Cricetulus griseus: one gene and its partners. The protein of the gene in region 2 binds, or shares a complex with, the protein of the main gene of each other region. Links are inferred from orthologs where the notes say so. Each region holds a gene or a part of one and is shown on either strand. Other genes may lie near its edges. The genes, in order: Timp2, Mmp10 and Timp1.

What was found.
Region 1: the proteins of Mmp10 (region 2) and Timp2 are in contact, whole or in part, in a crystal structure (PDB 4ILW), measured with the Homo sapiens proteins. The link is inferred for Cricetulus griseus from reciprocal best matches to the Homo sapiens genes MMP10 and TIMP2. Residues at the interface, in NP_002416.1 of Homo sapiens: Glu155, Asp169, Phe170, Tyr171, Ser172, Pro176, Gly177, His178, Ser179, Leu180, Ala181, His182, Ala183, Tyr184, Pro185, Pro188, Gly189, Leu190, Tyr191, Val214, His217, Glu218, His221, His227, Pro237, Leu238, Tyr239, Phe242; in NP_003246.1 of Homo sapiens: Cys27, Ser28, Cys29, Ser30, Pro31, Val32, Gln36, Ala37, Asn40, Ser57, Gly58, Asn59, Asp60, Tyr62, Asn64, Pro65, Ile66, Lys67, Arg68, Thr91, Ala92, Pro93, Ser94, Ser95, Ala96, Val97, Cys98, His123, Leu126, Cys127.
Region 3: the proteins of Mmp10 (region 2) and Timp1 are in contact, whole or in part, in a crystal structure (PDB 3V96), measured with the Homo sapiens proteins. The link is inferred for Cricetulus griseus from reciprocal best matches to the Homo sapiens genes MMP10 and TIMP1. Residues at the interface, in NP_002416.1 of Homo sapiens: Phe170, Tyr171, Gly177, His178, Ser179, Leu180, Ala181, His182, Ala183, Tyr184, Pro185, Tyr191, Asp205, Ala206, Ser207, Gly208, Val214, His217, Glu218, His221, Phe226, His227, Thr231, Tyr236, Pro237, Leu238, Tyr239, Asn240, Phe242, Thr243; in NP_003245.1 of Homo sapiens: Cys24, Thr25, Cys26, Val27, Pro28, Asn37, Leu57, Tyr58, Pro87, Met89, Glu90, Ser91, Val92, Cys93, Arg98, Thr121, Cys122, Cys155, Leu156, Ser157, Ile158, Gln173, Leu174, Gly177, Ser178, Glu179, Lys180.

Annotation. Positions count from the first base shown.
Region 1 is NC_048600.1:130,868,327-130,878,471, forward strand, and holds part of Timp2 (metalloproteinase inhibitor 2), read right to left. Parts: intron 6,030-10,145; coding exon 5,929-6,029; intron 3,174-5,928; coding exon 3,065-3,173; intron 94-3,064; coding exon 1-93. UniProt on the Homo sapiens protein: Complexes with metalloproteinases (such as collagenases) and irreversibly inactivates them by binding to their catalytic zinc cofactor. Known to act on MMP-1, MMP-2, MMP-3, MMP-7, MMP-8, MMP-9, MMP-10, MMP-13, MMP-14, MMP-15, MMP-16 and MMP-19.
Region 2 is NC_048597.1:121,934,088-121,944,702, reverse strand, and holds the start of Mmp10 (stromelysin-2), read right to left. Parts: upstream 5,588-10,615; 5' UTR 5,522-5,587; coding exon 5,417-5,521; intron 4,826-5,416; coding exon 4,581-4,825; intron 4,489-4,580; coding exon 4,340-4,488; intron 3,956-4,339; coding exon 3,830-3,955; intron 2,436-3,829; coding exon 2,271-2,435; intron 1,024-2,270; coding exon 882-1,023; intron 69-881; coding exon 1-68. UniProt on the Homo sapiens protein: Can degrade fibronectin, gelatins of type I, III, IV, and V; weakly collagens III, IV, and V. Activates procollagenase.
Region 3 is NC_048604.1:125,720,900-125,731,626, reverse strand, and holds Timp1 (metalloproteinase inhibitor 1), read right to left. Parts: upstream 7,175-10,727; 5' UTR 7,019-7,174; intron 6,166-7,018; exon of another isoform or gene 6,163-6,165; 5' UTR 6,155-6,162; coding exon 6,034-6,154; intron 4,007-6,033; coding exon 3,930-4,006; intron 3,681-3,929; coding exon 3,554-3,680; intron 3,359-3,553; coding exon 3,234-3,358; intron 2,532-3,233; coding exon 2,370-2,531; 3' UTR 2,265-2,369; downstream 1-2,264. UniProt on the Homo sapiens protein: Metalloproteinase inhibitor that functions by forming one to one complexes with target metalloproteinases, such as collagenases, and irreversibly inactivates them by binding to their catalytic zinc cofactor.

The DNA of each region.
Region 1 (10,145 bases), on a different chromosome or scaffold from region 2:
TCAGGCTCTTCTTCTGGGTGGTGCTCAGTGTGTCCCAGGGCACAATGAAGTCACAGAGGGTAATGTGCATCTTGCCATCCCCTTCTGCCTTTCCTGTGTGGAGAGTCACCAGGCTCAGTGGGAGGCTCAAGTCTCCTCCTCCTGCCTTCGTTCTGCATCTGGGTGCAGCTCTGGGTTTTGAAGGTCAGCTCTAACAACACCATGGTTGGACTACTCTGAGTTTTAAAATAGCTCATGTTGGGGCTAGAGAGATGCTGATCTTCCAGAGGACCAAAGTTCAGTTCCAAGTGCCTATGTCATAATCAGGCAGATTATAACAACTGCCTGTAACTCCAGCTTCCTGGGATGACGCCCTCTTCTAGCCTCGGTGGGCACTGTACCCCCTAGAATAAATCTCCCCCTCACGTAAAATAAAACAAAACATGCTCCCAATTTTTTGGTTATTGAGACAGGGTTTCTCTGTGTAATAGCCCTTAACTGAACTAGAGCTCATTTTGTAGACCACACTGGCCTTAAATTCACTGGGATCCATCTGCCTCTGCCTCCCGAGTGCTGGGATTAAGGGCAGGCCGAGGACTCTGGCTTGTCAGGTGTTGGCCACCAGTCCAAATCCAAACAGGTGTGTTTTCAGGGGTGACACCTGGGCACACACGGACCACTTGCACCTTTTCACTGTACTAGTTTGTTCTCTTTGCATCTTTAGTTGCCCCCCATTGAGCCAATGAGATAGCTCAGTGTGTAAAGGCACTTGCTGCCAAAACTGTCAGTCTGAGTTCAATCCCAGGGACCTCATTGTAGGAGAGTGCTGACTCCCTCAAACTGTCCTGACTTCCACTCATAGGCCATCATATGTGTGCATGTGTATAAAAACAGGAAATCACCTGTCAGATTCAGTGGAAAAGAATATCACATTAAAAATTGATACTAATCTGAGCAGGGGGTGAGTATAAAACTCAGTACTAGAGCCCTGCCATAGCATGTCTAAGGCCTTGATTCCATCCTTAGCACCACCAAATATGTGTATGTATGTGTGTATGCATGTGTATGTGTCTATATGTGTGTATGTATGCATGTATATATGTGTGTGTGTGTATGTGCACGTGTGTGTGCATGTGTGTGTATGTATGTGCATGCGTGTGTGCGCATATGTATGTATGTGAGTGCATGTGTGTGCATGTGTATGTATGTATGTGTGTATATGTATGTATGTGCACGTGTGTGTGCATGTGTGTATGTGTGTGAGTGCATGTGTATGTATGTATGCATGTGTGTATGTATGCATGTATGTATGTATGTGTGTGTGCACATATACACAAAAAGAGAAGCAATTCTTCTACCTGCTATAACATGGACAGACCCTGACAGCATGCTCAGTAAAATAAGCCACCACAAAGGCATATCTACCTTGCTACAGCCATGAGCTCCCTACAATAGACAAGGTCACAGAAAGTGAAAGCAGAAGGTGGGGGATGGGGCCCAGGAAAAGACAAGAAGTGAGATGCTCTTGGCCAGTGGACAGAGATATAGTTTGGGAAGATGGCACAGTCCTGGAATAGATAGTCATAGTTACATGCTATTGTAGCTATATTTAGTGTCACCGAATCCTATGCCCAGGCATAGATATAAAGGCAACCCTATAATATGTGTTTTCTGCAGGTTTTGTTACATTCACTTATGTTGTGTGTGTATAGGTGACTGGGTACATGGATGGGTGTGTACGTGTGGAGGTCAGAGGACAACTTAGTGTTATTTTTTCTTCTTCTATCATACAGATTCTGAGGATCAAACTCAGATTGCCAGGCTTAGTGGCCAGTGCCTTTACCCACTGAGCTATCTAGCTGGCCTAGATACTAGGTTTGTGGGGTTTTGTTTCTCAAAAACAAGGTCTCACTGTGTAGGCTCACAGAAATCCACCTGTCTCTGCCTTCCAAGTGCTAGGATTAAAGACGTGTGCCACCATGCCCAACTACACTAGTGCAGTTTTTAAAACAGCACGCAGTGTATTTAAAAGTGTCTTTTATTGATGTAATTCTCTGGGGCCGGTCAGGGCACTAAAATGTGCCCAAACGTCTGGGGCAGTGTGTGTGTGATGTAGTCTAAGTGACAGGCACATGGTACCTTCAATCTTCATCACACCTGGAGCTACAGTGGAGTCTTCTCGGGCCTAGGAAACTTGCGCTGTGCTATTTGTGTGGCTTTCTCCTTACTTAGAGGAGGAGGAGCGGCCACACATGGGTGTAGAGGGACAGTACAAAACAGATGCTACATGTGGGAGCCCTCCGATGGCCAGTGTGGAAGACAGGCATTCGGCACGACAGAAAGCGCTGTCCACATACACAGTCACTGAAGTAATCTGGTCTCCCATGGGGATTGACTTCCCAGGCTTTGTGTGGACCCAGAGCCTCGCTTGTGCAGAAGACGGGCAGAGCCAGAGAGAATGCCCTAACGTGGCTCCCAAGTATACAAAACAGAGCAGCCCCCAGCTGTGCTCATCACCCTGCTGCCTTGTAGGACTCCACCCTCCCCTTTGCTCAGGCATCCACAGCCTCCTGGTAGCATCAGGGCAAGAAGTCTGGGGCAGGAATTTGAGCCTGGTTGTAGCAGTCACTGTGTGTCAGGGCTCCTGATAGTAAGGCATGGCTTACCTATCTGTAAATCACCTGCCCAGAAAGAAGCCCCTTATTGGTGTGGTAGGCTGGTTTCCATCTCATGGACCAGAAAGCAGTGTCCATGCTTGAGATGACCAAGTGGTCAGCAGGGCTGACTGACAGGTCTGGCCCCAGGGGTTGAAAATAGAGTCCGTGTGCATGGCTACCGAGGCATATCCCTCCCAGGGGGCACTAGCCTGGAGAGACGGCTAATACAGACAGTTTCGGTATAGATGAGCACCTGGGGTGTCTCTGGAAGTAGGTGCTGGCCAGCAGTCCTTGTGCCCGTGCAGCTGGGCTGGCTCGCCCCTAGAGGGCAGTGTGGGAAGCTTGTTCCTCAGGGACCAGATGACAGGACCGCAGAGGAATTCTGCTAGGGTACCATGACCCAGTACTAAGGCTGAGCTCCTACACACCTGCAATTAGATACTCCTTCTTTCCTCCAACGTCCAGCGAGACCCCGCACACTGCTGAGGAGGGGGCTGTGTAGATAAACTCGATGTCTTTGTCAGGGCCTTTGAACATCTGCAAAACACAGGGGGGCAGGAGTAAGCCGCCATGGGGTTCCCAACCAAAGCATGATGGGAACAGGGGTACATGGCTGCACCCAGGTATGCCCCCCCCCCCGTACTCCCCATCCCAAGGTGCATAGAGGGTAAACAGGGGATTCAAAAGCCACCACTGTTTTCGAGATGTGTTCAGAGTCACACATCAGCTTAGGGATATAGGCAGATCTCAGTTGGCAAACACAGCCTGCCAAGGCTTTGTCCAAGGTAATTTCTGAGCACAAGGTCATCATTTCCAAACCTCCGTATAAATTCTAGGAGATTCTCACTTGCCACAGAGGGTCACGTCTCTGTCTTCTTCCCAGGAACCGGGTTCATTTGCTTGCTTGAAAAACAAAACCAACCAACCAACCAAAGTGTATGTGTGTGTGTGGGGGGGGGGGCGGTCTTTAATCCCAGCACTCAGGAAGCAGAGGCAATCAGAACTGTATAAATTCTAGGACAACCAAGGCTACACAGAGAACCCTGTCTCCAAAAACCAAAAAGCTAAAAACAAATAAACAAAAAACCACACACTCACAAAAAGATTGTTTTTAAATTTTTTTCCTTTTCTTTTGATTTTCTCTTTTTCCCTTACCCCCATCCCTATCTTTTGGGTCAAACCTGGAGCCTTGAGCCCAATAATTTACACCCCAGCCCTACTTCCACAATTTTTCTTTTTCTGAAACTAAATTCTCACTTTGTAGCCAGACCTGGATTCGAACTCTCCATTCTCTTTGCCTCAGCCAGGATGCTGGGTTTATAGGGTTTTACTACAGCAGGCTGTTTATTTCCAGGGATCTTGGCGAAGCACTGACTACCTGATGAGAACAAGGGGAGAAGGGCTCCCCCTGGAGCCAGAACATAACCCCAGAGTCACTGGAGGGTTTCATTTATTTCTCAGCATCTGACTCATTTCAGGGGTATGCCTGCTCTTCAGGGGTATGCCTGCTGCCCCTCAGAGGAAGACACCTAGATGTGTGTGGGGGTTTCACCCCGCTCCCCTTTTACTCACACCCTTCCCGACACCCCAGAAGAGGGTTTTCGTTTGCCTCTTCCTTCCTTCCTTCCTTCCTTCCTTCCTTCCTTCCTTCCTTCCTTCCTTCCTTCTTTCCTTCCTTCGAGTTTTAAATATTTATTTTTATTTCTACTTCCATGGTGTGTTTGTGTCTGTGTGTCTGCTACCATGAGGTGCCCTCAGAAGCCAGATTCCCCTCAAGCAGGGCCGGCAGGCAGTTGTGAGCTGCCTGACATGGGTGCTGGGATCCTAATTCTGGAGGAGTAGTCAGTGCTCTTACCCACTGAGCCTTCAGGCTGCAGTCCCTCTCCAGGACAAAACGGCTTTGGGGAGCTCAGTTCTAACGCTGTAGGAAGGAAGGTTGCCAGGGCAACAGAGTCACTTCCTGGTATTAAGCCACGAGGAGGTGATGAGGTTACGCAAGCCCACCTGCTTCTCTGCCTCAGAAGGAGACTTTGGTATTGAGAGTTAGTCGTTCCTGAGGTGACACATGGGATGAGGAAGTGCTCGCTCCTCTGGCCTGTTGATAATATTTATTTTCAATTTTGGTAAATAAGGATGTCTACAACCACTACTGCATGACAAAGCTGTCCCTAACACTGGAGGAGCCAGCTGTCTTTCTTTGAATACCAAGTTAGTAAATGTCAACTACCAGAGCAGGCATGTACCACCCTACCTAGTTTTGTAATTCCAGGGATCAAACTCAGGGCTTCATGTGTGCTCGGTAAGCATGCTACCAACTGAGCCATATCCCCTGCCTCTCCCTTAACATCTCTCTCTCTCTCTCTCTCTCTCTCTCTCTCTCTCTCTCTCTCTCTTCGTGTGTGTGTGTGTGTCTGTCTGTCTGTCTGTCTGTCTGTTTCTCTCTCTCTCTCTCTCTCTGTCTGCCTCTCTCTGAGTATCTCTGTCTCTCTCTGTCTGTCTCTCTCTCTAACACTGGTTCTTCCCATTTGTCTCTGACACACAAAGTACTCTGAATATACTAGCAGACACCACCACAGCCACGACTGGGGCCATCTGCAGTTCCCCGACCACAGCCCTGTCCGCTCAATGGGCTACCTTCTCAGTAAATGGCCCACCACAGTCAGGAAGCTGCCCTCAAGTACAACTGACTGCCAGACTCTTCCTCTTATGACATGCTACCCCCAGGTTTATCACCTGGTAAAATCAAGCTAGTCTGTTTCTGGAATTAGGGTGACATGGTGGTTTGAATGAGAACGGGCCCATGGGGTCAAATATGCAAATGCTTGGTCCCCTAGTAGGTAGAACTGTGTGGGAAGGATTAGGAGGTATGGCTTTATTGAAGGAGGTCTGTCACTGAGGGTGGGCTTTGAGGTTTCAAAAGCTCATGCCAGGCCCAATGTCCCTCACTCCACCTGCTGCCTTAGGGTCAGGTTGCAAAGCTCTCAGCTACTGCTCCAGAACCATCCACGTCTGCCTGCCTCCCACCATGATGACCACGGACTCATCTTCTGAAACTGTAAGCAGGCCCCTGTTTAATATGCTTTCTTTACAAGACTTGCTTTGGTTCCTGTGCCAAGCATAGGACAGTGACTGAGGCAGCTGAAAACCTCACATTTCTGCCAGCCTTTCATGTTCTTGTGGCTTAAGGAGAACTGGGCTTCTTTGTGGCTTGACAGCTCAGCTTTCTGGCTTACGGTGGCTGGGAGGCGTTCCAGGACCCCATCCCTGCTTCCCCCACCAAACCAGGGGCTACCTTTATCTGCTTGATCTCATATTGGATCCTCTTGATGGGGTTGCCGTAGATGTCGTTCCCGGAATCCACCTCCTTCTCGCTTACTGCTTTGGCCCTGATCACTGCAAAATACAGAGACACAGATGAGGAGAGTCCCGGAGGACCAGGATTCAGGCTCTGCCCAGGGGAGGAAGGTGTCCCTCCCTACTGGAGGTACAAAGGGAGGTGGGTCTATTGCCCAAACACTGTAACCTGAGGGGGTCAGAGGAGTTGGGTTGGCACAGGAAGGAGAGGAGACTCTGTAGCTTGTTGTCCTGGGTTGGTTAGCAAGAGTTCTTTGCTGTGGCTGGGATGTGATTCAATTGGCCGAGTGCTTGACTAGTATGCACAAAGACCTGTGTTCAGTCTCTAGCACCAAGTAAAAGTGGGCGCAGTGACACACACTTTTAACCCCAGTCCTTAGGACATGGAGTCAGGAGGGTCAGAACTTCAAGGACAGCCTGGGCTAATAAAACCCTGCCTTACCAGGTGGTGTGTATATGTGTGGTGGGGGACACGCCTTTAAGCCCAACACTCAGGTAGATCTCTGAGTTAGAAGCCAGCCTGTTCTACAGAGTGAGTTTCAGGGCAGTCAGGGCTACACAGAGAAACCTCTTGTCAAAAACAAAAATAAAAAAAAACAAAACAAAACAACAACCACAAACCTGACTCAAAGACAAAATCAAAAACCAAAAAGCTGGCCAGGCATTGGTGGCACAGGCCTTTGATCCCAGAACTTGGGAGGCAGAGGCAGGTGGATCTCTGTGAGTTCGAGACCAGCCTGGTCTTCAAGAGCTAGTTCCAGGACAGCCTCCTAAGCCACAGAGAAACCCTGCCAGGAAAAACAAAACAAAATAAAACAAAATACCAAAAAGCTGGGTGTGATGACTCACACCTTTAACTCCTGCACTTGGAGCAGAGGCAGGTGGATCTCTGCGAGTTCAAGGCCAGCCTGGCCTACATAGTGAATTCCAGGACAGCAAGGGCTACAAAGTGAGACCCTGTCTCAAACAAAACCACCCCAAACAAAACCCAAACCAATGTATCCCAAATGAATCATTTGTTGACTAGGGCCATAGGCGGCTCTGTACAGCGGTAGGCTGTGGCCATGGGTCAGGTTCTTCCTACCTACTGGTGACTAGAGAAACAGTAAACAAATGGCCTAGCATATAGTCCTGCCCCTGCAGGTAGGGCTGGTGGAGAGGTGACTCTGTCATGCCAGCATCTCATCCTCAAACAGACTTTGGAGGCTCAAGAAGATGGGCAGCCATCCACCGCAAAGGAGCCTGGTTATTCAGATTTGGGGTCTCCACAGGGGTGGGGGGGTCCTGGAGCACAGCCCAGAGCAAAGCACCGGCCTAGCATTCAAGAGGTTCAGAGATCCCTCTCTAGAAGTTTCCGTGTGAGATGTCGTATGGGACAAGCGTGTGAAGGTCATGTATCATTTCTCAGGCGCCACCTGCCTTGGTTTTTGGGTGTTTTTTTTTTTTTTCTCCATTTTTATTTGTTGGGGGTGGGCAGGGTTTGCACATTGCCGGATACAGCCAACATGTCAAAGTCAGAGGACGCCTTATGGGAGTCTCTCCACCGAGTGGGTTCCAGGGATGGAACTGAGGTGAACAGGCTGTGGCAAGCAAGCGCCTTTACACACTGAATCCTGTCACTGAATTCCCCACCTTATTTTTTGAGACAGGATGTCTCATTGGCCTGGAGCTCACTGGCTGGCTTGCCAGCAAGCCTCTGCGTTCAACTGTGTCTTCCTTCCCAGTGCTGGGATTATAATCACAGGCCACCAGCCATGGCTTTGTGAGACATTCTTTAAAGTAACATGTATTCTGAGAAGCGTGACAGGCGTGGAGTCGGAATGCATATCATGCAGGCTATGGATCTGGTCAGTAGTGCTGTCAAACCTTAGACACAAATGGTAAGGAAGCAGGACATGCTCGAAGAATATCTAGGACAACAATCAAAAGAAGTGATGGGAAGGGATATACCAGGAAAGTTCCAGAATGTTCTGGAGCCTGGTCGTGCCTAGCATGGGTTTTTCTATCAGTAATTAAGCCCCTGGGCCCTCCCTGGAAACTCTACCACCAAAGCTTAGCAGATCCTCCCACAAGCGGGGCACTCCCTTTCATTACTTGGAGGTCATTAGCTGGGCCAGGGTCTGTTTTAATGGCTTTAAAAGCTTTGTCCTTCAAATGGCAGTGGCATAGGGTCACTCTGGGCACGCGTTCTGTCACTGTGCACATGAGCTAGATGGAGACAGGGGAGCAGACAGTGCCGGCTCATAGTCTCCAGCGGTCAGCTTGAGTCTTGGAAACTTCTGGCCAGGACTGTTTACCACAGAGGCAGGGAGGTCCAGGCACGTGGGAGTGCCATCTGCTGCTCAGACCCCAGCAATGTTCTCTGGATCCCTCCCCACTGAGTCTCACACCACAGCCCAGGCCCCACCCAGCTCGAGGCCCATTTACATTGGTCCTTCTGTGAGGCTGAGTCACTACTGGCCTGGCCACAGGTTCCTGTTTCCCAGCCCAAAGCAGGCTTCACTTCAAACAGCTACAACCTGGTAAAAGCTACCTGGCAGGTCACTCTAGAACAGAGGGCTCGTTTTTGGTTCTATGCCTTCCCCATAAACATTTCTTGCAAAATGCTTTCACTTAGTCGGGCGTTGGTGGCATATGCCTTTAATTCCAGCACTCGGGAGGCAGAGGCAGGCGGATCTCTGTGAGTTCGAGACCAGCCTGGTCTACAAGAGCTAGTTCCAGGACAGCCTCCAAAGCCACAGAGAAACCCTGTCTCAAAAAACAAAAACAAAAATGCTTTCACTTAAAATTCAAGCCAGGAGTGGTGGCACACACCTTTAATCTAACCACCAGGGAGGCAGAAGCAGAAGGAGCTCTGAGTTTGAGACCAGCCTGGTCTGTAGAGCAAGCCAGGGTTATACCTGCAACCCCACTTTTCCCTTGTTCTTTCCTAATCCACCCTGTTTCCCTGTCCCCCACATGCTGGGATATCTAGATATGTGCCATCTCTGAACAGGAAAGCTCTTCTCCCCAAATGTCACCTCCAGGCCCCTGCCTGGAGAACTTCCATTCATCCTGAGAAACCCTTCCTGTTTTCTTCCTGCAGCGACAGGTGTATTGCTCATCTCTAACATACTCTGCTGTAAATGTTTGTTCACCTGTCATCTGAGAGGTCATGACAAGTAGAGGCCATGTTACAGAAGACCCGGGGCTCAGAAAACAACTACCAGATGGAACTGGGCTGACTATGACGGCCTTGGGTTGACAGCATAGGCGTGCTGGCCCTTGGTCCCTCCTGTGTAATCTATACAACCATCAGCATTGCAATGTTTATGCAAATGTGTAAGCATGCCAGGTAAACTTTGGAGGCCAGGTAAACACTGTCATGTGTTTTTCTTTGAATAGCACTGTCACCTGCTCAGAAACAAGAGGGGACAGGGGTTCCAAAGGAATGGTCCATCTCCCTCTACTGGCCTAGAGAACTTGCTAGCCTTGCTTCAAGTAGTGGCCCACTATACTGTACAATGCTTCAATGTGTCTGCTAAGCACTGGGACTACAGCTCAGCTGGAGAAGGACTTATATAGCAAACATGAAGTCCTTAGCTTAAGTCCCAACACATACAACTGGACATGGCCCATGTTTGGAATCTCAGCATTCCCTAAACTATTATGGAGTTTGAGGCTAGCCTGAGCTACTTGAGACCATGTCTCAACACAAAACAACAACAAAAAGTTCAGTAAAAAAACAGCAGCATCGATCTGTTGAAGACTGGAGTTCCTGCTGATCACCAGGGCTTATCTGTAGGTCAGACAGACTCCTTGTGGTCTACATTCAAGGTTGGCCTTAGAAACCCCTGATCCATTGCTCATGGCTGCCGGAGCAAGGATTGGCTGCTGCATGGGTGCACGATTGTCAGACTTCAAGACAGGCATTGATTGGTGTGGACATGCCTCCGGGGCATGGCAAGTGTCTGCAAAATAGCTGCCTGCTTGGCTGCTGGGCCCTGGTAGTGACCAGGCAGAGGGAACAGTAAGGTGCAAGGCGAAGGTGCTTGACTCCTGACAAGAGAATTCCCCAGAAAATGGCCACTTCATGGACAAGCCTGTCCAGTATTCAAAACATAGCCCTGGTACTTGGAATCCCAGCAAGTGCAGCAACTGTCCACATCCTTTACC
Region 2 (10,615 bases):
AGGGCCAAAATGCCGAAATCAAATTGACTTCAGGCTCAGGATTCCAGCGGGATATGCGCCAAAAGTACCTGTAATATATGAAAACGGCTACAGTCTTTCTCCTTAAAATAGTAAACACAGAAGGACACAGTCTTCTTTCTCATCAATGGTGATTCGCCTGTCCACAGCAGCACACAAATTGTCCCACATGTGATTCCAGGTGTTGGAGACAGCCAGGGTGACAGGGATGTAGTCAGCACCCTAGAGAACCCTGTTCCAGCTTGATCCCATTCATAAGTATGTAAAATAGTATATATTGTATGAATCTGTTAATATTTTTAAAATGTTGTATACCCTTTTAGATGTGAGCACGTTGGTAAGGTGGTACAAAGAAAATTGGTAGCAGTAGATACACACAGGCAGGGATATGGGACAGCAGAAATGGAAGGGCTTTTTCTTCTGTCTTTTGGTGCTATTCAAGTATTGTGCACGTGTATGTATCACCTTTTCTAAAAGGAGTTCATTGAAATAACAGCACTTTCTAGCAAGAGTAAAGATACTTGTCTGGTCCTAAGGATGGCTGGCACTTTCAGAAGTTCCATAACTTATGATATATAAAGACTGAAAGATAAAAATAAGAGATGAAGTTCCCTGATTTTATGCATCTTTTAGTCTACTGACCAAAAATCATCTTCTGGGAGCCTAGAAAGAAATATGCTGGATAATTCCAATGGGATCTTTAAAAATGCAATATATACCAGAGATGTTAAAACATGTCAGAAATATTTTATAATCATATTACATTTACTATATAAATACATTATATATAACCCCAAGTTTATTTTCCTTTCTGAGCATTGAATCAAAAAAGTAGCTCGGGAAATAGAATGTTGCATTCTAACCTGTCTTTAAAGAACAGCAGTTCCCCTCGCAGGGTGCTGACTGCATCAAAGGACAAAGCAGGATCACACTTGGCTGGGGTCTCAGGTCTTGGAGAGACAGAGGACATGGGTACCACTGTGGCATCAGAGGACGGATGTGGTCCTGAAGGGAACAGGTTAGGGGAAGCAAATGTTAGAAGATCAGGTATGCATCTAACAATTTACACACTGTCCAAACTTCTTCACCTCTGAGTGGACACGGAGAGCACAGTAGGAGCCATCTTGTCCTCAGGTACACCCCAAGCATTGCCTTCTGGCCATTTCATCCTCTGGCTTTCAGACCCAAAGCTTCCTCCCTAATAGTCCATCCATACTCCATAGCTCTTTGTAAATGCCTGAGTGCCCCAGCCTTAGAAGGGCTTCTTTTTTCTTCTTTTTTTTAAAATTTAAATTAGAAACAATCTTATTTTTACATATCAATCCCAGTTCCCTCTCCCTCCCATCCTCCCCCATCTCTCCACCCCTCCCACCCACTCCTCAGGGAGCTTGAGGCCTTCCATGGGGCGATTATCAAAGTCTGTCACATCATTTGGGGCAGGGTCTAGATTCCCCCTCCCCTGGGAATCTAGGCTGAGAGAGTATCCCTCCATGGGGAGAATGGGCTTCTAAAGTCCATTCCTACTCTAGGGCTAAATGCTGGTTCCACCACCAGAGGTCCCATAGAATGCGCAGTCCTCCTGTCACCCATGTTCAGGGGGCCTGGTTCAGTCCTATGCTGTCAGACTGGGGTCCTTGAGCTCCCATATTCTCAGGTCAGCAATTTCTGTAGGTTTCCTCTAAGGACTTCTATTCAAGTCTCGGGATCTCCTGACAACCTGCATGTCATCTGGAGTCACCGTCACTCAAGGCTCCTAACAGGGTTTTACAGACATCAGGGAAGCAGACTATCATCCCGTTCAGACAATTCCATCTTCTTGCCTGCAAGTTACTCTTCTCTCCTTACAGAGACATAAATTTGAGCAGGGCACACTGACATATGTCCTTGTGGGCTCCCATTACTTCCAATTTACCGCATTTGAGATAAACTCAGTCTGTGGCCTTGCTCAGCAGTCATCCACTTTTTAAAGACTTGTATTGCCAGTTTCTCTCCTGATCATTTTTTGTGCTCACCCTCATTTTGTGGAGTTTTGGGCTTGGGAACTTCTTAAAGCACCAAGCCTATGTTAGTTTCTGACTCTATCAATTTTATATTTCTCCTGGGTCATACGGGCTGAGGTAAAGATGAACTTAGGATCAACCATTCACATCTTACTGCTTGCTATTAATGACATGTGCAGCATTCTAAAAGAACACCGACAAGAGCAAGCAGGCAAATAAAGAAGACTCTCAGCCAGATTTCCTCATGCTCACCATAGAGGGACTGAATGCCATCTATATCATCTTGAGAAAGCTGGAACTGTGCCGGGCTGGTGGACAACCTGTAGACGGGGTACATCAGAGCTTCTTTTTTGTCTGAGTGAAAGAGTCCCAGGGAGTGGCCAAGCTCATGAGCTGCAACCAGGAATAAGTTGGTCCCTGTTTGAGAAAGCACAAACCTTAAAGTCTAACAGTTACTATTGCACAGACACGCACACACTATTCCTGCCAACCGCACAGGGCACCCTTGGGATCACACACTGCCTTCTCCTCATTTATCAGCTCACTGCAATCACTGCACACTCCATCACGTGTCTTTCATGGTTAACTTGAAGTCAGTGTCTAAGACAGTTTTTCACTAGTTGCTCTCTAGAAGTCTCCTTAGTCAGAATATTAGTTCACTATTCCTGTATCAATGGTGGCAAGTCCTGTTTCCAAAAGAGATTTCTTTGGCAGGACCAAGATGAATCTCATGCCAACAAAAATAAATCTTTATTGTCTAGAAATCAGAAACCATTGTTAAGATTTAGTAACAAAATAGTTTTAACCATACTTTAAATCAAACACAAGCTCTTTATATAGTCTTCAACCTCTTAAGTAACAAAACTATGGGGAATTTCATCACCGTCATCAACTTTTGATTGTTATAAAAATGTTTACAAGAGAGGTTAATGGGAATAAATATATTCACAGTGCATGATATATATTTATGAAACCATAAAAAACTACATTTTGGAGAAAATCCACTTCCTAGCAACGGGTGCTGCATGAAGGGCATAGGTCCCAGTATAAACAGAAGCATGTCCTCTGCCTGTTTCTGTGGTGAACACAGCTGGACTCAGTTGCCTCGCATTATGAAAAGCTCTGTTGGTGCTGGTCATTGAAGCAGAGGTTCAGGCAGTTACAGGGAAGAAATATTGATCATGTCCCGTGGCATTGCTGCAGATCTGCACAATTAATAAAGACTGCTTCATATTAACAGTAACCCCACACTTAGAAACCCAGAAATTGTGATTGTTTCAACAGTCTGTGTCCAAACTTCAAATGCTGTTTACAAATTTTAAGTAGAGTGCAGTTAATGGTAGCCAAAACGTTTGGGGAGGAGAAAGGCTTCCAAGCTAGCAAAGGTGGCATTTTTATTTAAACAGAGCATCTTCCTTTAGTTTCTGGCATTTTCTCCAAATCATTGCGTTTAAAAAGAAAAGAGGCAAATGAGAATTCAAAGTCAAGGGCAACTTTTGGGGTCTTAACCTACTCAATAGCACTCATTCAACACTACTCTTTTATTATTGGGGTGGTAAACAGTAGTAACTTACAACACACTTAACCCTGTACAAGATCCTGAGTTGTCAAAATGACAGTAAATGGCACCCACTGTTTTGTACTTGGGGGGTGCAAAGAAAGAAGCAGTTTACACAGTTTGTTAGTAATTAGATGAATAGGGCTTCAGGTTGCCACACAGATAATCAGAGATTGAAGGTAACAGAACATTCTGTTTGAGTCTTGCTCTAGACAAGTTATTCTTGGAAAACTCATATCTAAACTCATCCTACCTGATGGTCCAAGTGTCCATTTCTCATCATCATCGAAGTGAACATCTCCATAAAATCCAGGCCCAGGTGGGTAGGCATGAGCCAGACTCTGTCCTGGTCCATCAAAAGGGTAAAAGTCTCCATGTTCTGATGGGAAACAAATTTATGGAGATATAAATATAAGACAGCACAGGAACTGTGTGGTCTGAACACTGGTGTCCCTCAAAGTCTTCATGTTGAAATGTAATCTCTAATGTGACAGGATCACAAGGCAGCTCCTGTAGAAGATGCTCAGGGTATGATGCTCTCTGATGGGTGGTGCCTAGGTGAATGAAGCTGAGGGAGTCTCTTGGCCACTTCTGCTACATGGGGAAACAAACTGAGTCTGCAGCCCCTTTATTGTGTGTTTCTAATTTTTTGGAACTCCAAGCAATACCTTTCTGTTGTTTACAGATTTCCCAGTGTGAGGCATTTTGTTTTAGTAGCCTAAACAACTCGAACAGCAGATGAGTGACTGTACAACTGCATTACCTCCAGCTGCGAAGGAGATCATTATGTCAGCCTCTCCTTCAGAGCGCCTGGAGAATGTGAGTGGGGTCACCTCTTCCCAGACTTTCAGTGCTTTCTCAATAGCAGAGTCCACACTCTCTTTCGGTAAATCTGGTGTATAATTCACAATCCTGCATGAGAGAAGAGGAAGAAGGCAGTGTGTGCTGCTCGATGACTCTGACACAGTGTTAACACATGTGAAAACTTCAGACCCGTTACCTACCTGTAGGTGAGGTTTGTTTCCCTCCACTTTGGTGAACCTGGAAAGGTGGTGAAGCCACCGACATCGGGGACGCCACACCTGGGCTTGAGCATCACATCCATAGTGCTGGAGTCCAGCCTCCCTGTCACCTCCAGCCCGAGGAACTTCTGCATTTCTTGGATTTTTTTGACAATGGGACTACTGTCCTTTCTTCTAAATACTTGTTTCTCATTTTTTTCAAAGTTGTAGTACTTTTCTAGATATTGCTAGTTGGGTGACAAGTACAGTTTTAAAGCTGTGACTGTGGATTTTAAACCATTTATACAAACCTCAAAATCCATTTTAATTATTCCCAGTCTATTGAAACACAAGTAGGTGTCATACCTAATTTGATTTTTTTTTCACTAAAATGCCCCATTTTATTATTTCATTGCAATTTAATATGCTACCAAGGCAAGGAGACCAGCATAGGTGTGTAAGTGCATTACATGAATGCATCTAAGTTTTCCCATTTCCATTATTAACATAGAGCTGTTAATACTGAATGGTGTTAGATAAATTCATTTTTTCACACATGAAAAATTAGAGTATGCATAATTTCTTGAAGTAGTAGAAGATAAATAATTCTGAAGCAAGAGAGACTTCAACCTCCCTATTGTCTCTTCTCAACTTGTGCCATGGCCATTGGTATCCACCTGCCCTTGCCTCTATTTCCCTCTCTGTAAGGATGGAGATTCCATCTCTCACTCTCTCATATTTTCCAACACAACTTCTAATCAAGTCGTCTACTCCTGTTGGAAGACCAACGAGCTACAGTTGTCCTTCCACTGGAAGCTGATCCCTCACTTGCTGCTTACCTGAGCAAGATCCATGCTTGGGTGGTCTTGCCTCACTGCTCCATGCAGAGGATATGCTGAAGAGACTGGCAGGCACAGAAGCACCAGGATGGCCAGTGGCTCCATCCAGACAGCCTTTACTTTAAAATGCACTCCTTCTCTAGCTCCCGACTTCTATACCTTCGTTTTAGTGGCCACTCTTTTATAGGGAGTCAGTGTTTAGGTCACTAATGACATGACTCACGTGTGTGTTATTTTTAATCTGAATGACTGCATGCTCATTCACAAACACTCAGCATGAAGATGGAATAGATTACATCAGAGAATCCCTCAACCTACTAAACTTGAAAGAATGTCTAATCTCAAGGAAGTGGTTTCTGTGTTTGTAAAGAGGAAAAGGAACTGACTGGAGAATTAATGTTTTTAGAATATTTAGATATTTTGAAAACAATGGTTTTTGTTTGGTTGGTTGTTTTTTCTCTTTTAAAAACATGCATGAGGCTCAAATACATGCAGACAAGGAGTAAATACATTAATAATGAAAGACCCCAGGAAAACTCAGGCCTCTAGGATCTCAGCCCAGGACTAAGGTCACCCCAATCACCAGGCAGATTCAAAAGCTTGATGCAAACTGCACGAGGCTTTATTGTTGTTTAACGAGCTAACCCCATGTTAGCTCGGGGTCTTTCATCCATCCATCATGGTGGATGGCTACAAAAGACATCTCAAACCGGCTGCATAGAGATCTGTAGGGCAGCCTAAGGGGAGTGTCTAGGGGTACGCACAGGCTCAGGATTGGTGTGCCTCCAGGCTTGGAGGGCTTGCCCTGTGTTGATTGGCCAACTGGTTGTTATGGCCCATAGGCCCTCCCAGGGTTGTTGCTATGCTCTGCGTGTCATTGCTGTGCACTTGTCCATAAAGCACACCCAGAGCCGTAAAGCATGGCGCCACCAGCTAACTTCTGATTGGTTCCTTGCCACGAGGTAGGCATCTGACTTTCTAGTGACTAGGACAAGGTCAGACAAGCATGTGTTCAGCTGTTATGGCTGCCAAAAAGGGCAGGCATCTGACCTTAGTGACTAAGACAAGGTCAGACAAGCTGTTATGGCTGCCGAAATGGGGAGCTGTTCCCTTCAATGGAAAAATATTCCAAAACTAAGTAGAAAGATGGCTATCTAGGAAGATATAAGGATGGGAATTTTTTGAGTCCTTGAGTATAACAGGTATTATTGATTTTTCAGATGGATTTACTGGCCCTTGGGAGAGGGTGGGTTTACTGTGAGAAGGCAGCCAATATGGAGGAGGCAAGGTCCAGAGGTGAAGCTCAGGCGTCCACCCAGGCTCCATTTCCTGACGATGTCTTCAGTCTCTGTTTCATGATGATGGCCCCATGAAGACTTATCAAATGGAAGTCAGTTAATTGCATATTAGATGAAGATGCTCCTTCCCTGTCTTTGCTTTTCAGTTTTTATCCTTTCCCTTCTTCCGAAGTACAAATGATTGAGGTTTACAATGGTATTTCCAGTCCTTTCTCTTCATGTAACATTACCCATTAAAAATATTTTCATTCCTTCCCTTGGCCAAGTTGAGTGCTCCTCAAACACAGAAACTCTGCAGTAGCTGTTAAACCAAAATTAGCTCTTCAAAGAAATATTTAGCCTGGCATTGGTGGCACACACCTTTAATCCCAGCACTTGGGAGGCAGAGCAGCCAGACCTCTGTGAGTTTGAGGCTAGCCTGGTCTACAGAGTGAGTGCCAGGATAGGCTCCAAAATGTACAGAGAAACCCTGTCTCAAAAAGCCAAAAAAAATAAAAGAAAATATATTTTTATTAACGTATATGTGTAAATGTTTCTCTGTGTATATATCACATTTGTTCAGGTGCCCTCAGAGGCTGGAAGCGGGAGTCAGATCCCTTGGAATGGAGTTACAGGTGGTTGTGAGCTGCCCTGTGGGTGCCAGGGACTTGAGCAAGTCCTCTGGAGGAGTAGCCAGTGCTCTTAGCTGCAGAGCTGTCTCTCCAGACCCACAAGCTTGGTTCTTAGTATAGAGGTCAGAGGGTGCCAAAATGTTTGAAGTACATTTTTCTTCCAGTGAAAGGGAAGTAATCCTACCATGTCTAAAGTATAAAATTCAAATTAGTGGGATAGAAACAAGTAAATACAGGAGCGACTTTTTTAGTACCATCTACCTCCTTACCACAGGGAGGCATGTCAACAGAGACTTCCATAAACCAGGAGACTCTGAGGCCCCAGAGCTGCAGCTTGTGAGAGGGGTGCATGCCCTGGCCCAGCAAAGTCAGCTTGTGACTTAGCATAGGTACTACATAGACAATAAGTGAATCTGAAAATCAGAGGCAAAGATGATGGTTAGCAGACTCCTCGGATAAAGTCAGCTAGACTTGAGCAAGTACACAATATAACACATGATCACTTTTCCTATGATGTGGAAACCATCACTAAAGGTGTTAGTTTTTATGTGTACACCATACTGGGAACAAAGCTCCTTTTCATTTTATTCCCGTGTCTTTAACAGACACAGCTTGTTCCTACAGATTCCTAACAGCCCTGAGGTGCTGACTTGACAGGTTCTGAGCTGCCTAGTGTTTATTTGAGTCATATCTTTGTTGGTGTTGGCACACCCTGCCAGTGGTTCCTGTGTGCCCAAGAGCTATGGCTGTGACTGTAGTTGAGTAACCATGAAAGGACGTGCCTCCCAGGAGGGATTTTGTTGGATAAAATTACTCTACTTTAAGCCACCACACCTGGAGGAGATTAATGATTAAGGCTATGGAGTCCTGATTGTTACCTATTAAATTCACTGAATATTTATGCAGTAAAGCAAGCAGGGGCATATTCAGTTCAAGGAAAGTTTCAATTCAACCCTCAGAACAGGGCTCCTATATGTGAGATTTTAAGTATGCACGCTTTCTAATCTGCATAAGAACCCAAGAAGATTGAGACTAGAAACAAAAAACAGGAATGAACTCAAGGTCATCTAGCTAACCACAACTTACATGAAAATAAAGGCTGGTTATGATTGCAATTCCAGCATGGCAGGGGTGGGGTGGGTGGGTGGGAGGTGGGGGTGGTGGTGGTGGTGGTGGTGGTGGTAGGGAATCTCTGAGCTTCACTGGCCAGCCTGCTCAGACAATCCAGTGAGTTCCAGGCCACTGAGAGATGCTGTCTCCAAAAACAAAGAAGAAGAAAAAAATAAGGAAAGAAGGAAAAAAGAAGAAAGGTGGCTGGCATATAAAGAATGAAAACTGAGGTTTCTGTTTGTGGTAGTTTGAAGAGGAGTAACCCCAACAGACTCATGTGTGTAAATGTCCAGCCCAAAGGGGGTGGCACTATTAAGAGGTGTGGACTTGTTGCAGGAGGTATGGCCTTGTTGGAGGAAGTGTGTCACTGTGGACACAGGCTTCGAGGTCTTATAAGCTCAAGTCTGGTCAATGTGAGACAATTTCCTTCTGCTGCCTGCAGATTAAGATGTAGGACTCTCAGCTCCTTCTCCAGCACCATGTCTGCCTGTATGCAGCTGTGTCCCGCCATGATGATGTTAGACCCCTGGAAAACTCAGGTATCCGGGGTAAGGCCACGACCTCGGTCACCCCAATCAGCAGACAGATTTGAGAGCTTGATGCAAACTGCATGAGGTTTTATTGTTGTTTAATGAGCTAACCCCATGTTAGCTTGGGTCTTTCACCCACCCGCCATGGCGGATGGCTAGAAAAGACACCTCGAACCTGCTGCCAAGCGATGTTGTAGGGCAGCTTCACAGGCTTAGGATTGGTGTGCCTTCAGGCTTGGAGGGCTTTCCCTGTGTTGATTTCCCAGGGTGGTTGCTGTGCTCTGCACGTCATTGCTGTGCACTTGTCCGTAAAGCACACCCAGAGCCATAAAGCATAGCACCACCAGCTAACTTCTGATTGGTTCCTTGCCACGAGGCAGGCACCTAACCTCTTAGTGACCAAGGCAAGGTCATAGCGAGCATGTGTTACTGTCATGGCTGCCAAAATGGGGGGCTGGTCCCTTCAATGATAATGGACTAAATCTTGGAAACTGTAAGCAACCCCAATTAAATATTATTCCTTTAGAAGAGTTGCAGTAGTCATGGCATGTCTTCATAGCAATGGAAACCCTAAGACACTGTCTGACTTCCCCAGATGTATGGACATGCACCCACACTCATAAGTGCCTCAGACACCATTATATCCCTTTTCTAATATATACCTTATAGTCTTATGGAAAACTGCCCTCTGGGCCTTGCTAAGGACCAGAGTCTGGTGCAGTGTGCTTAATTTCCATGTAATAAAGCTCCAGTCTCCCTGCACATTCTAGCTGCTAACTCAACACTGAGACAGAAGTTTTGATCTTTATATCATTTACTATGGAACATCACTGTGTGCACGATGTGAGGTGCCAGGTAAACAGCACATGGGAACAGCTCCTGGATTCCTTTTGGAATGCCAAGTCCCAAGTTTTAGGTGCCCATTTCAATAACTCCTTTCTTGTCCAGCCTTGTAGCCCTGCCACGTACATCATAGCCCAGTGTTTGGGACCCACTCTGAGCACTGCACCTCTGTACTTGATGATAATTAATAAGGTCTAGGTGCCATGATGTCTGTGCTTATGAGACACATCCTGCTGTAGATGATCTCCACAAGAGTGTAGAAATTTGAAAATTTTGGATAGACTAATTTTCTCATGAGTATTTTTCATATTGTTTGTTTTCCATTTCAAATTTGAAAGAAATAACATTTATAGGTGAGGCTTTATAAACATGTAGTAACAAAATAGAAATAGAAAGCTTATAAAGCATTAGAGACAAAAGTAGCTTTATTTTAAGTATCAAATCTTTATTTTGTACAAAAAAATTCTTATCTGGGCATTACGGGCATGCCTGAAATCCTAGCATTTGGGTGTCAGCGGTAGAAGAGGTGTGAGTACAATGCCAGCCTGGCCTATAAGATTTGTTTTAAAAAACAGACCTAAAGCATCAATGGATTTTCCTCATGTAGAGCTATTCGTGTGTTCAAGAACTGCCTTTCTTCTGGGAGAGTTTGTCTGCTGACCCTTCTCTCTTGAAAGGAGAGGCCTAGGGTTAATGTCAGAGTCAATGGCCTTCTTCAATGAATTATCAACCAGGAACTCGACCTTGTTGGGCTGTCAATTGTGGCACTAAACTGTTTTAAAACACTGAACTAAAACATGCAAGATG
Region 3 (10,727 bases), on a different chromosome or scaffold from region 2:
TATAGTTGAAAAGGGAGGTGGGGGTATTGCATGTAGTTGAACAAGGAGATGGGGTTTAAAGTATACAGTTGGATCAAGGAAGCAAGGGATTTTTGGTTTTGTTTGTTTGTTTGTTTGTTTGAAACAGGGTTTCTCTGTAGCTTTGGAGCGTATCCTGGAACTCACTTTGTAGACCAGACTGACCACAAGCTCACAAAAATCCACCTGTCTCTGCCTCCCAAGTGCTGGGATTAAAGGTATATGCCACCATCACCAGGCAAAATTAGCTAATCTTGATAGGAGCAGTCTTTAGGTCTTAAACATGGGGTGCTACAGTGGACATTTTCTGTACACACTATCAGCATTTGCATTTGGACTCCTGAGAAAGGCTTTACCATCTCAGGGAAGGCTTTGCCTCTCCCATAAGGCTAAGACACTGGAGTCCTTGACAAGTAATGCCCATGTCAACAGCACACATTAGCTCAGGATTTCTGTAGGCAGAGTTCTCCTGTCCCAACTGCCTGCTCCCAAATAACCAACATGGAGGCTCAACATTACCTATAAATGCTCTACTAATGGCTTAGGCCTCTTACTAGCTAACTCTTACATTTTAAATTAATCCATATTCCTTATTTACACTCTGCCACATGGTGGTACCTTTATTAGCACATTCATCTCCTGCTCCCTATGCATCTGGCTGGAGACTCTTCTGACTCCACCCAGCATTCCGTCTATCTCGGCTGTCTTATTCAATCTCTTCCTGCACAGCTATTGGCAAATCAGCTTTTTATAAGCAATGAGAGTAATACATATTTATAGCATAGAAAAGGATTATTCCACAGCAGACTTCATTCAATCACTCCCCACAGGGTAAATACACTACATAATCATCTTCCAAGACTTACTACTCTAAAAGGTCTGGGTAAGGACTGAGATGCCCATTTTTAAAATTTTATGTATTTATTATGTATGCAGTGTTCTGCCTACATGTATGCTTGCATGCCTGAAGAGGGCACCAGATCTCATTACAGATGGTTGTGAGCCACCATATGATTGCTAGAAATTGAACTCAGGACCTGTCTAGGTATATCCTGTTTTCCAGAGTCCCTAGCTAGCTGGCAACGTAGCTAGATCCCCTTCCTTTCACTTAAGTCAGATTTAGGAAGTATAACAGCTTGGATGAGGCATCTTCACTAGACTACATTAGGATAATGCCAGAGGCAAGGAGAGATTGATAGGGCAGTTTTCAATGAATTTGTCAATGGGGTGATATTTGTGAATAGGGGAATTTTCAACTGGATAATTTACTAACTAGAGAAGCTTGGGCAAGTAGGAATTAGAAATTTCTCTAGTAGGCATGGTGTGGTGGCAAATGTCTATAATCCCAGCAATCAGGAAACAGGGAGGAGAATTACAGCAAGTGTGAGAGGCCAGCCTGTCTCAAAAAGGGGTGCAAAATGGAGCTGGAGAGATGTCTTAGTGAATAAAGCACTTGTCATGCAAGTATGAGGACCTAAAATTGAATCCCCAAATCCACACAAAGCTGGGCAGTGGTAATTTGCATCTGTTTGTAAACTGGAAGAAAGGAGAATCCCAGCCTGCTGTATGCAGTAAACAATGAGACCCTGTCTCAGATAAAGTAAGGTCAGACACCCAAGGCTGTCATTTGACTGTCATGGCATGTATAAGCCTTTACTGGTACACATTAACACATAGAGAAAGACAAAAAGGAAACAAAAATAATAATAATCAGCTTTGCACAGTGGCAGTATCGGAGCCAATGAGGTTTATCCGAGGCGCGATTATTGCTAATTGAAAAAAAAAATCACTGTACTAAGATGTCTCAAAGTATTGAGTAGAGAAATATTCAATAGATTGGAGTTGGTAATGCAAAGTGAGTAATCATTACTGATTTTTCAGGTTCCAGTACTAATGCCAATGTTTAGATTATTACCAATATATTATTTTTTTGTAAAGTATAAAAACCCAACACTTTTTCCTTTTTTTTTCTTGTTTCAGATTTTGGAAACAGGGTAGTATGTAGTCCTGGCTGTCCTAGAATTCTCTCTCTCTCTGTAGACTAGGTTGGCCTTTGTTCCTTTCTTTTTTGCTAGAGATTGACCCTGAGGCTTTGTACATGAAAAACAGCTGCTCTACCACTAAGTTACATTTCCAGCCTCCAAACTCAACATTTCAAATGGATTCATTTTTCATTGGACCCTGGATGCTCCCACCAGGTTATCATTGTCTTGAGTTTGTTCCCAGACACTACACTGAAACGGCACTGCTGTGTGGTAGTTCTTTATTTCACTGTCTAAAAGAAAGAAAGATGGAGGGGAGGGGAGCAGTGTGCAGGCTTCAGCTTCCACTGGGGGTAGGCTTTGGGTCATCTAGGCCCTCAGGGATTGCCAGGCACACAACTGTGGATTCCGAGGCAAGCAGGCAAAGTTACGGCTCTGGTAGCCCTTCTCAGAGCCCGTGAGGATCTGATCTGTCCACAAGCAATGAGTATCACTCTCCAGTTTGCAAGGCATGGTTGAACAGGGAAACACCTGGAAGATGAGAGAAAGGTCCACTCTGGGGGCTTCTTCTTCCCCTGTTCCCTCCCCTATGGAGAGTGTTCCACTCTCCTTCTGGCAACACAGAGCAGCTGGGAAGGCTTGACATTGCCCCACCTGTGTTTAGACCCGAGAACAGCTTCTCCCATTTGGGGAACAGAAAGCCAGTGTTCTGGAATGGTGGGTAGGAAACTATCTCTTGAAGTCACTCAGGCAGGCCTCACAGGGCAGAGAACTGAGTAGAGGGTAACAGTTGGCATGCAGAGAGGTTAAGCATAAGAATAGGCAACGGGGCTCTCAGACAGTGACTGAGGTCAGAGGATATTTATTGCTGTCAGGGAACAGTTTTGAAATAGCCAGGTCGACATATCCCTGTGGATTTGGAAAATCACACGTTGAATTCTTGCAGAACATGCCTGGGAAGCCAAACCCAATCTTGGGAGATCAGAAACAGACAGCAGTATTTCAGAGTAGACACAAAAGAAAAGTTAGAGAGGCAGAGAAGGTTCAGGGAACATGCAGTCCCAAGATAATAGAACAACCAGTATCTCCAAAAGAGCAGGTTTGGGACAACAAGAGAAATTAAAGGCAGTGGTTGGGTTTGGGAAGCAGCTACAATAACAAAGAATAGCCAGAGGGAAAAAGAAACCGTTCCAGGTATTATCTCCAGAAAGAGAGCTGGTTCTAGGAACTTACTGTGCACACCCCACAGCCAGCACTATACGTCTTTGAGAAGGCTTTTTGCTGAGCAGGGGTCAGGCTATACCAGGGAACCAAGAAGCTGCAGGCACTGATGTGCAAACTTCCATTCCTTAGGCGTCCTGTAAGGGAATGGAGAAACCAACAGGCTTTTGATTGGCCGGGTGGTGCTGGGGTTACCTGATTAGCATTAGTTTACAAACCTTCCCGCCCCCATTTCAACCAGGTCCTTTCCCTTTAGAGCCTCGCTCCTCCCAGTTGCCAGGAAGCATCTGAGGATGAAGGGGTGTGGCCCAAAGCGAAGGGGCGGGCCTCACCCGCGATGAGAAACTCCTCGCTGCGGTTCTGGGACTTGTGGACATATCCGCAGAGGCTCTCAAGGGCTGGGGTGTAGGCGAACCGGAAATCTGCGGCATTTCCCACAGCGTCGAATCCTTTGAGCATCTGCCCATGAGTGACAAAAAGTCTATCTTTTACTGATTTAATCCTCCCACTCCATTACCTCTTAACCTGATGTCATATATCTAAATCACAAAATTATGGGAAACGTCCACACCAACCAAAGGCTAGATGCTAGTATTTTGAGGAGGAGGAAGAGGTTAATATGGCTATGGAGGGAGACAGGGAAAGAGGAGGGAGGGAGAGAGGGAGAGAAGGAGGGAGGAAGGGAGGGAGGGAGGAAGGAAGGAATACCTTAGTCATCTTGATCTCATAACGTTGGTATAAGTTGAAAATGATTTCTGGGGGCCCCATGAATTTAGCCCTTATGACTAGAAAGGAAGGGGAAAATAAGGAGTTAAGTGAGCAGCATGAACCCATAACAGCAAAACATATATACAAGCATAATTCTAATAGAGACAGCACACTTAATGGTTTCCATGTTTCCATGTCTGTTGATTGATTCATCTATACATTGTCTACTCTTCCAGGTACTGTTTTAAGCACTTTTCATATATCCATCTGTTGGCTTTCTCAACAAATATTTTGGAGTGCCTGATATATGCAGCCACTGTTCAGGGTGTTAGGGACACAACAGTGACCCAAACACAGGAATCCATTTCCTTGTGGATCTCACATTCAAGCCAGGAGGATATAACTAAAATTAAGTAGCCAGGCATGGTGGCACAAACCTGTAACCCCAGCTCTGTCAAGGTGATGAAGGAGGACCACTACAGTGTGAGTTCAAGACCAGTCTAGACAATTTAGTGAGACCCTGTTTTAAAATGAAATTCACAAAAGGGTTGGGTTTGTACCTCAATTTGCTTAGCATATGAAAAGTCCTAGGTTCAATCCCCAGTATGGAGAAAAAGGTATATGGATTGTTAAAGGCTGTTAAGTATGATGGAGAATTAGAAAAGGGAGGAGATTGACACATATTCTTTGCTTGACCACAATTTACTCAGGCTCATTAACCTTCTTCCAAGCTTATAAGTGCAGTTTCTCTTAAAAATGCAGTTGTAGATGCCAGGTGGTGGTGGTTCACACCTTTAATACCAGCAATCGGGAGGCAGAGGCAAGCAGATCTCTGTGAATTTGAGGCAAGCCTGGTCTACAGATAGGAGTTCCAGGACTGCCAGGGATGTTACACAGATAAGCCCTGTCTCGAAAAACCAAAAAAAAAAAAAAAAGAAAAGAAAAGAAAAGAAAAAGAAAAAGAAAAATCCACTTGTACCAAAGTATACTAAATCAGTTTAGTGAAAAACCCACCCTCATCTGACTCTCCTCGATATGTGAAGGGGCTCCATATTTTCCACTGACCATCAGGTGATTACACTGGCCAGTTCTCAGCAAGAGTCCTGAACTGGGTATGGTGGCACAGGCCTGTAATCTCGGCACTTGGAAGGCTGAGTGAGGAGGATGAAGGGTTCAAAGCCAGCCTGGGCTACATAGTGAGACCTACTCTCAAAAAAGTGAGCTCATGGGCTCGAGAGATGTCTTAATGGTTCAGAACACTTGCTGCTCTTCTAGAGAACCCAAGTTTGATTCCCAGCATCCACATAGCATGGCTCACAACCACTTGTAACTCCAGCTCCAGGGGATCTGATGCCTTCTGGATTCCACAGGCACCTGCACACCACACATGGTGCACACACACATAGACATAAATAAAAATAAACCTTTTTGTTTTTTTTTTTCGAGACAGGGTTTCTCTGTGTAGCTTTGGAGCCTATCCTGGCACTCACTCTGGAGACCAGGCTGACCTCGAACTCACAGAGATCAGCCTGCCTCTGCCTCCTGAGTGCTGGGATCAAAGGCGTGTGCCACCGACGCCCAGCAAAAATAAATCTTTTTTTAAAAAATGGGCTTAGCCTGAATCTTTTTACTCCTTGCCTGTGATATTTCTTCTCAGTGATTTCCCAGTCACCAATCCCTAAACTGTTCCTTGGCTGTAGAGTTCCATTTGCCTATGCTATGTTGAGAGTTAAGCCCAATCTCTCTCCCTGACTGAAAAATCTGATTGCCATGGTCCTGAATAAAGTCTGCCTTTCTGTGCCCTAAGAAGTGTAATTCACAGTTTTATTTAACAGGGAATCAGATGTACTATATGGCAGGGATTAAAATTTAAACAAAGTAGACAGGCACCCCAGTAAGATGACTCTTGAGGTAGCCACCCATGTGAATAACTACAGAGAAATATCTACCTGGGAGGGAACAGCCAACACAAAGGTGGGCTTAGGCCTAAGGATGTCAATATGGCCAAAGTGGATCTATGCAAGGGTAAGTACAACTGTTGTAGAGATAACTGCCATCATGAGCCCTATTGGACTAAGAGGCACAGAAAGGGGGCTAGACTCACCCAGGTCGGAGTTGCAGAAGGCTGTCTGTGGGTGGGGTGGGGCACAGCTACAGGCCTTGCTGGAGGTTATCAGTGATAGCAACAAGAGGATGCCTGAGGCCAGAGATGCAAAGGGGGCCATAGTGGTATCTGCTGGGAGAGACAAGGTAGTAGTTGATCCCCAGCCCAACTGATCTGTTTACCCATTGGCCCTAGGGAGATTAGGGAACCCTGAGAATCTTAAGGGGTGAGAAACCTGGAGAGGTTTAGGGGCTTAAACAGTTGGGAAAGTTTTGGGTTTTATTGAGTTCCAGTGATTTAGGAGACAGTGAATAGGAAGATAATGGAGTTGTGGCAGTTGATGAGTCCAGGAGCTGAGAAGTTTGAGAATTTAGTGGAGTTGGAGAAGTCTGGAGACTGACATTTGTGGAGTCAAGAATTTGGGGTTTGGGAAACTGGAGAAGTATAAGGGGAGGCTGGGAGCTGAGGGAGATTAAGATATAATGGGCATGGGGATTTGTGGCTACTAAGGGTTTTAGAGGAGGTTTGGGATTTTAGGAAACTGGGGGAAATTTAGGGGTTATGGGGTCTGGGGGAATTTGGGAGTTTAAGGTAATGGGAGTGTTGAGGAATTTGAAGGCAGAAGAACTTTTGAAGTTCCAGGAGCTGGACATGGCAAAGTTTGAGGGCAGGGGGAGTTAAGGGAGCTATAGGGGTTTGGGGGAACAATGAAAAATTCAGAGGAGTTGGCAAGTTGGGAGGTCTTTAAGGCATTAGAGGCTTGTGGGTTTGGAGCACTTGGGGATGAATGCTAGGGGCATGAGGGAGTCCGGAGAGTCTAGCTTGGGATACTCATTCCAAAAACCTTCCCTTCGTATTCCCCCTTGGCCAAATAGAGGTCTTGATACCTGCAAGCCCAGTCAAGCAGCTAGTCTGGCAGGGAACCGGATGTGCCTGGTGGTCGCACCAACACAGGCTCCAGCCAGGACACCCGGCTCCCACTTACCTCTGGTGTCTCTCTAGAAGCCCGATCTGCGGCGATGGCGGCAGGGACTGAGCGGTGAAGAATAAATGTCCATGCAAGGGGCGGAGTTGGCGCGGAAATCACAGCCTCCAGGCTTCCTGGACGCATTACTCATCCACCCACCGCAGGAATCGAAGCCTAGGGGCGGGCCGGAGGACCGGCCTAAAGATACTCCCTCCACTGCCAGCCAGCCCACTGTGCCCCTTCCCCCCAGCTCCACGTCACTCGCATTCCTCCCTGGCGGCCTTGAAGGGGAAATGGAAAGGCAGCCCAAGCCCCCACAGCCCTGTGCTTATCCAGTTCCCTACATTCCCCAAACTTCCTATGGCTGAAGCCAATGGCTTCATTCCTGCGCCTTAGTACATCTACTTTGTTGCAAGGCCGGCTTTCCTAGTGGACCTGGCGTTTTTGTTGAGGGGTGGCAGAGGGGAAGACAAACTAGAAAAAGAGTTGAGGGCCATGAGATGGGAGAAGAGACACAAATACATAGTGAGGAAATTGATTCACCGAGAGTGTCTGTTATTTTTTGAAGATGGCAGTTAAGTGTGTCAGAACTGGGAGAGGAACTGAGGTGGCCTGCAGATAGAGCTTAGGTGGTAACCTATCCCCAAAAGTTTGCTGTGGTTGTACACATGAGTGAGCCTAGAACTTAGGATGTTTGAAGATAGTCTGTGCTACGAGAGACCCTGTCTTAAGCAGAAACAAAATCAAGCAGGCAAATAGCTGAAGTGAAGAACTTTGCCAGGGTCACAGAACAAAACTGGGATTTAAACCTGGGCTTCTTGACACTGAGATCCTCACTCAGGCGGAGCCCAATCTTGGCAACCAGGGAATAGTGTGGTGAGAATGGGGGGAGTGAGGGTGTGGATGATGGTGAAAGAAGCTAGTGAGTCAGTAGAAAACCCATCCCCACCCCATCCTGCCCAGCTCCTTTCCCACCAACCAGCCCACATCCCTGGTGGGGTGGGATGAGGCAACTACTGCCCACCCGCTTCCTGATGATGCAGGGATATTCTCTGGGGTCGTGTGGAAGGTTCTATGGGATGATTAACACCCTCAATTAATCCAGGCAGGGTAGACCAATAGTAATGACAATGGCTGTAATCCCAGCAGGCAAGTGGATCCGGAGAGTTTGAGGATAGCCTGGTCTACATAGTGAGTTCCAGGACAGCCTGGAACATACATAGTGAGACCTTGTCACACACACACACACACACACACACACACACACACACACACACACACACACACACACACAAAATGATAATGATAGTGATGACAGCAGCTACTTGGTTGAGCACTTACTGTGTACTATTGCTAAGATCTTTGTGTACAGTCATTTTAGCTAATTAAATTTTGTTAATTTAGATTAGCTCAATAACCACAGCATACAAAAACCTACTGCCAGCACTCAACAGAACCCTCACCATATACAAAAGATTTCTTATATTTATTCAGTGTGTGTGTGTGTGTGTGTGTGTGTGTGTGTGTGTGTGTGTAGCTGTACTCATGCTTGTATTGCTCTCCACCTGCAGGAGCCAGTCCTCTCCTTCCCTACGAACTCACACTCAGGTTGTCAGGCAGCAAGCACTGGATTTTTTGTTCCTTCATTTGCTATTGTCCTCATTCTCCCTTAATGTCAATTAATGAAGAGTTGTCAAATCAGTAATAACAGCGATAATAGTAACCAGCACTTTGAAGATTCGGGTTTACTTTATGTGTATACTAAGATTTTTTCCCCTCTGAAGTAATTGATTTATTCTTCCCAACATGCCTGTGAGTTACAATTCATATTTTCATTATTTAATGAGAAAATAGAGACAGAAAGGGGTCAAATGGCCTGTCCAGGAATGATAGTGAAGAAATCACTGTGGTGGGGAGGTAGGGATACAAAGAAAGGAACAAAGGAAAGGAAACCAAAATTCTCAACTGTCTGATTGTGAAAGTGAGGAGTGAGAGTAGATGAGACAGGGCTGAGTAAGTAGGTGGCGGGACTGAGGAGAAGTAAAGAGAGGGAAAGTCCAGTCTCTCCTCTATGACCCTGCTTCTGACACCAGCTCTTTATAAAACCTGAGTCAGCCCACTTTTGCCAACTGGTTACATGTGAGGATTTTGATTGTTGTGCAGGTTTGAAATGCAGTGGGGTGGATGTCAAGGTGTTTGGCTTGTCTCTATCTGGGGAACTGGGTAAGTGTGAGGAATTCACTGGCATGTGCAAATACCTGATGATCCCCAAGAAAGTGTTAAGTGCTTGGTCTTGATTATACCTTTTGTGCAGATCAGGAAACTGAGGCCCAGAGAGATGGTATCTACCCGGGATCTCACCCGGCCTTAGGAAGAAGGCCAAGATAGCAGGTTACGGCTCTCCAGGAAATCCCAAGCCCTCTGTATGTACATATGACAGACAGACACACTTACATGCACACACAGCACTGTGTTCAAGCTCAGGAACAGAGGAAACAAAGTTGGTTTATAAAAAGGATCCAGAAAGCTCAGCAAGTAGAAGTAGGTATGCTTGCATGTGCACAGCTCTCTGGTGTGTCTGTGCCTCTGTGACTGGCATGTGTCCCTTGGTGGGCTCAATTTCCCTTCCTGAGAGCCAGGCATATATCTAAGGGTGTTTCTTCTGAGAGTTGAAGGTTGCAAATATAACTGTGCATGCCTCATACTTCTCTGTGTGATGAGTAGACGCCTGAGTGGGAGATCTCTCTCTTCTCACACGCAACACATACCTTGGCATTGTTTCTTTGGCCTGCTGCCTGGATGACACCCTTACCGCCATCCCCCTTTCCAAACCCATGCCACTCAGCCCTCCCCCCATCCTCATGACGACACACATTTGGGAAATGAGGGAGGAGGAAGTTGTAGAGGGAGGGAGAGACCTGAAGGTCAATCAGTCACCCTTAGACTATGGGGCTTCCTGTGCTTCTTGGGAACTGCCACTGCCCAGGAACCCCTCTAAGAATGCATTCCCTGCCCTGTCAGTAGGAGGCAGGGGCTCTGAATTTATACACGGGATATGATGGGGCTAGGGTCCTCTAATCTGGTCCCTTCTACCCAGCCCAGGTTATAGGGAAACTTAACACATCTTTACCTAACTCATAATTGTCTGCATTTATGTCCACACCCAGGAGTGTTGTCTGTGTGTTTGATTTTCTGTATGTTTGTGTCATAGATATGGAAAAATAATTTTGCATCAAGATATACTTTTCATGGACCCAGGAATGTAATGAGGTCTGAGTTATAGGAATTTGGTTATGGAAATGCCTAAACGTGCACACACGTTCTGCATGTTGTTTTGATCCTTCTGTTCATTGTGGACATGCTGGGGAGTGATGCATATGTCCATTTATTGTGTGCTTCTAGCGTTGTGTGTGCTTCTATACTGAATGAGTGGCTCTTTCTGTTAGGTAGGTGTGAGCAAGGGGAGGGAGCTCATGTGTGTGCTCCAAGGTGCCGATTGTAGGTCTTAGGAGTGTGAAGAGCATGCTGTTCGGGCGTGCTCACATGCTAAGAGCAAGTGAGCTGACTGACTGGATTTCTTCGAAGCCCCCGATGTGATTTAAGCCTGTGGTGGTCTTTCTCAATGCATATGGACTTCTCAATAGATGTGGACACCTCTGACTTTGGCTGGGTAATCTCACTTTTGAAGGGATGTGTGTGTGTGTGTGTGTGTGTGTGTGTGTGTGTG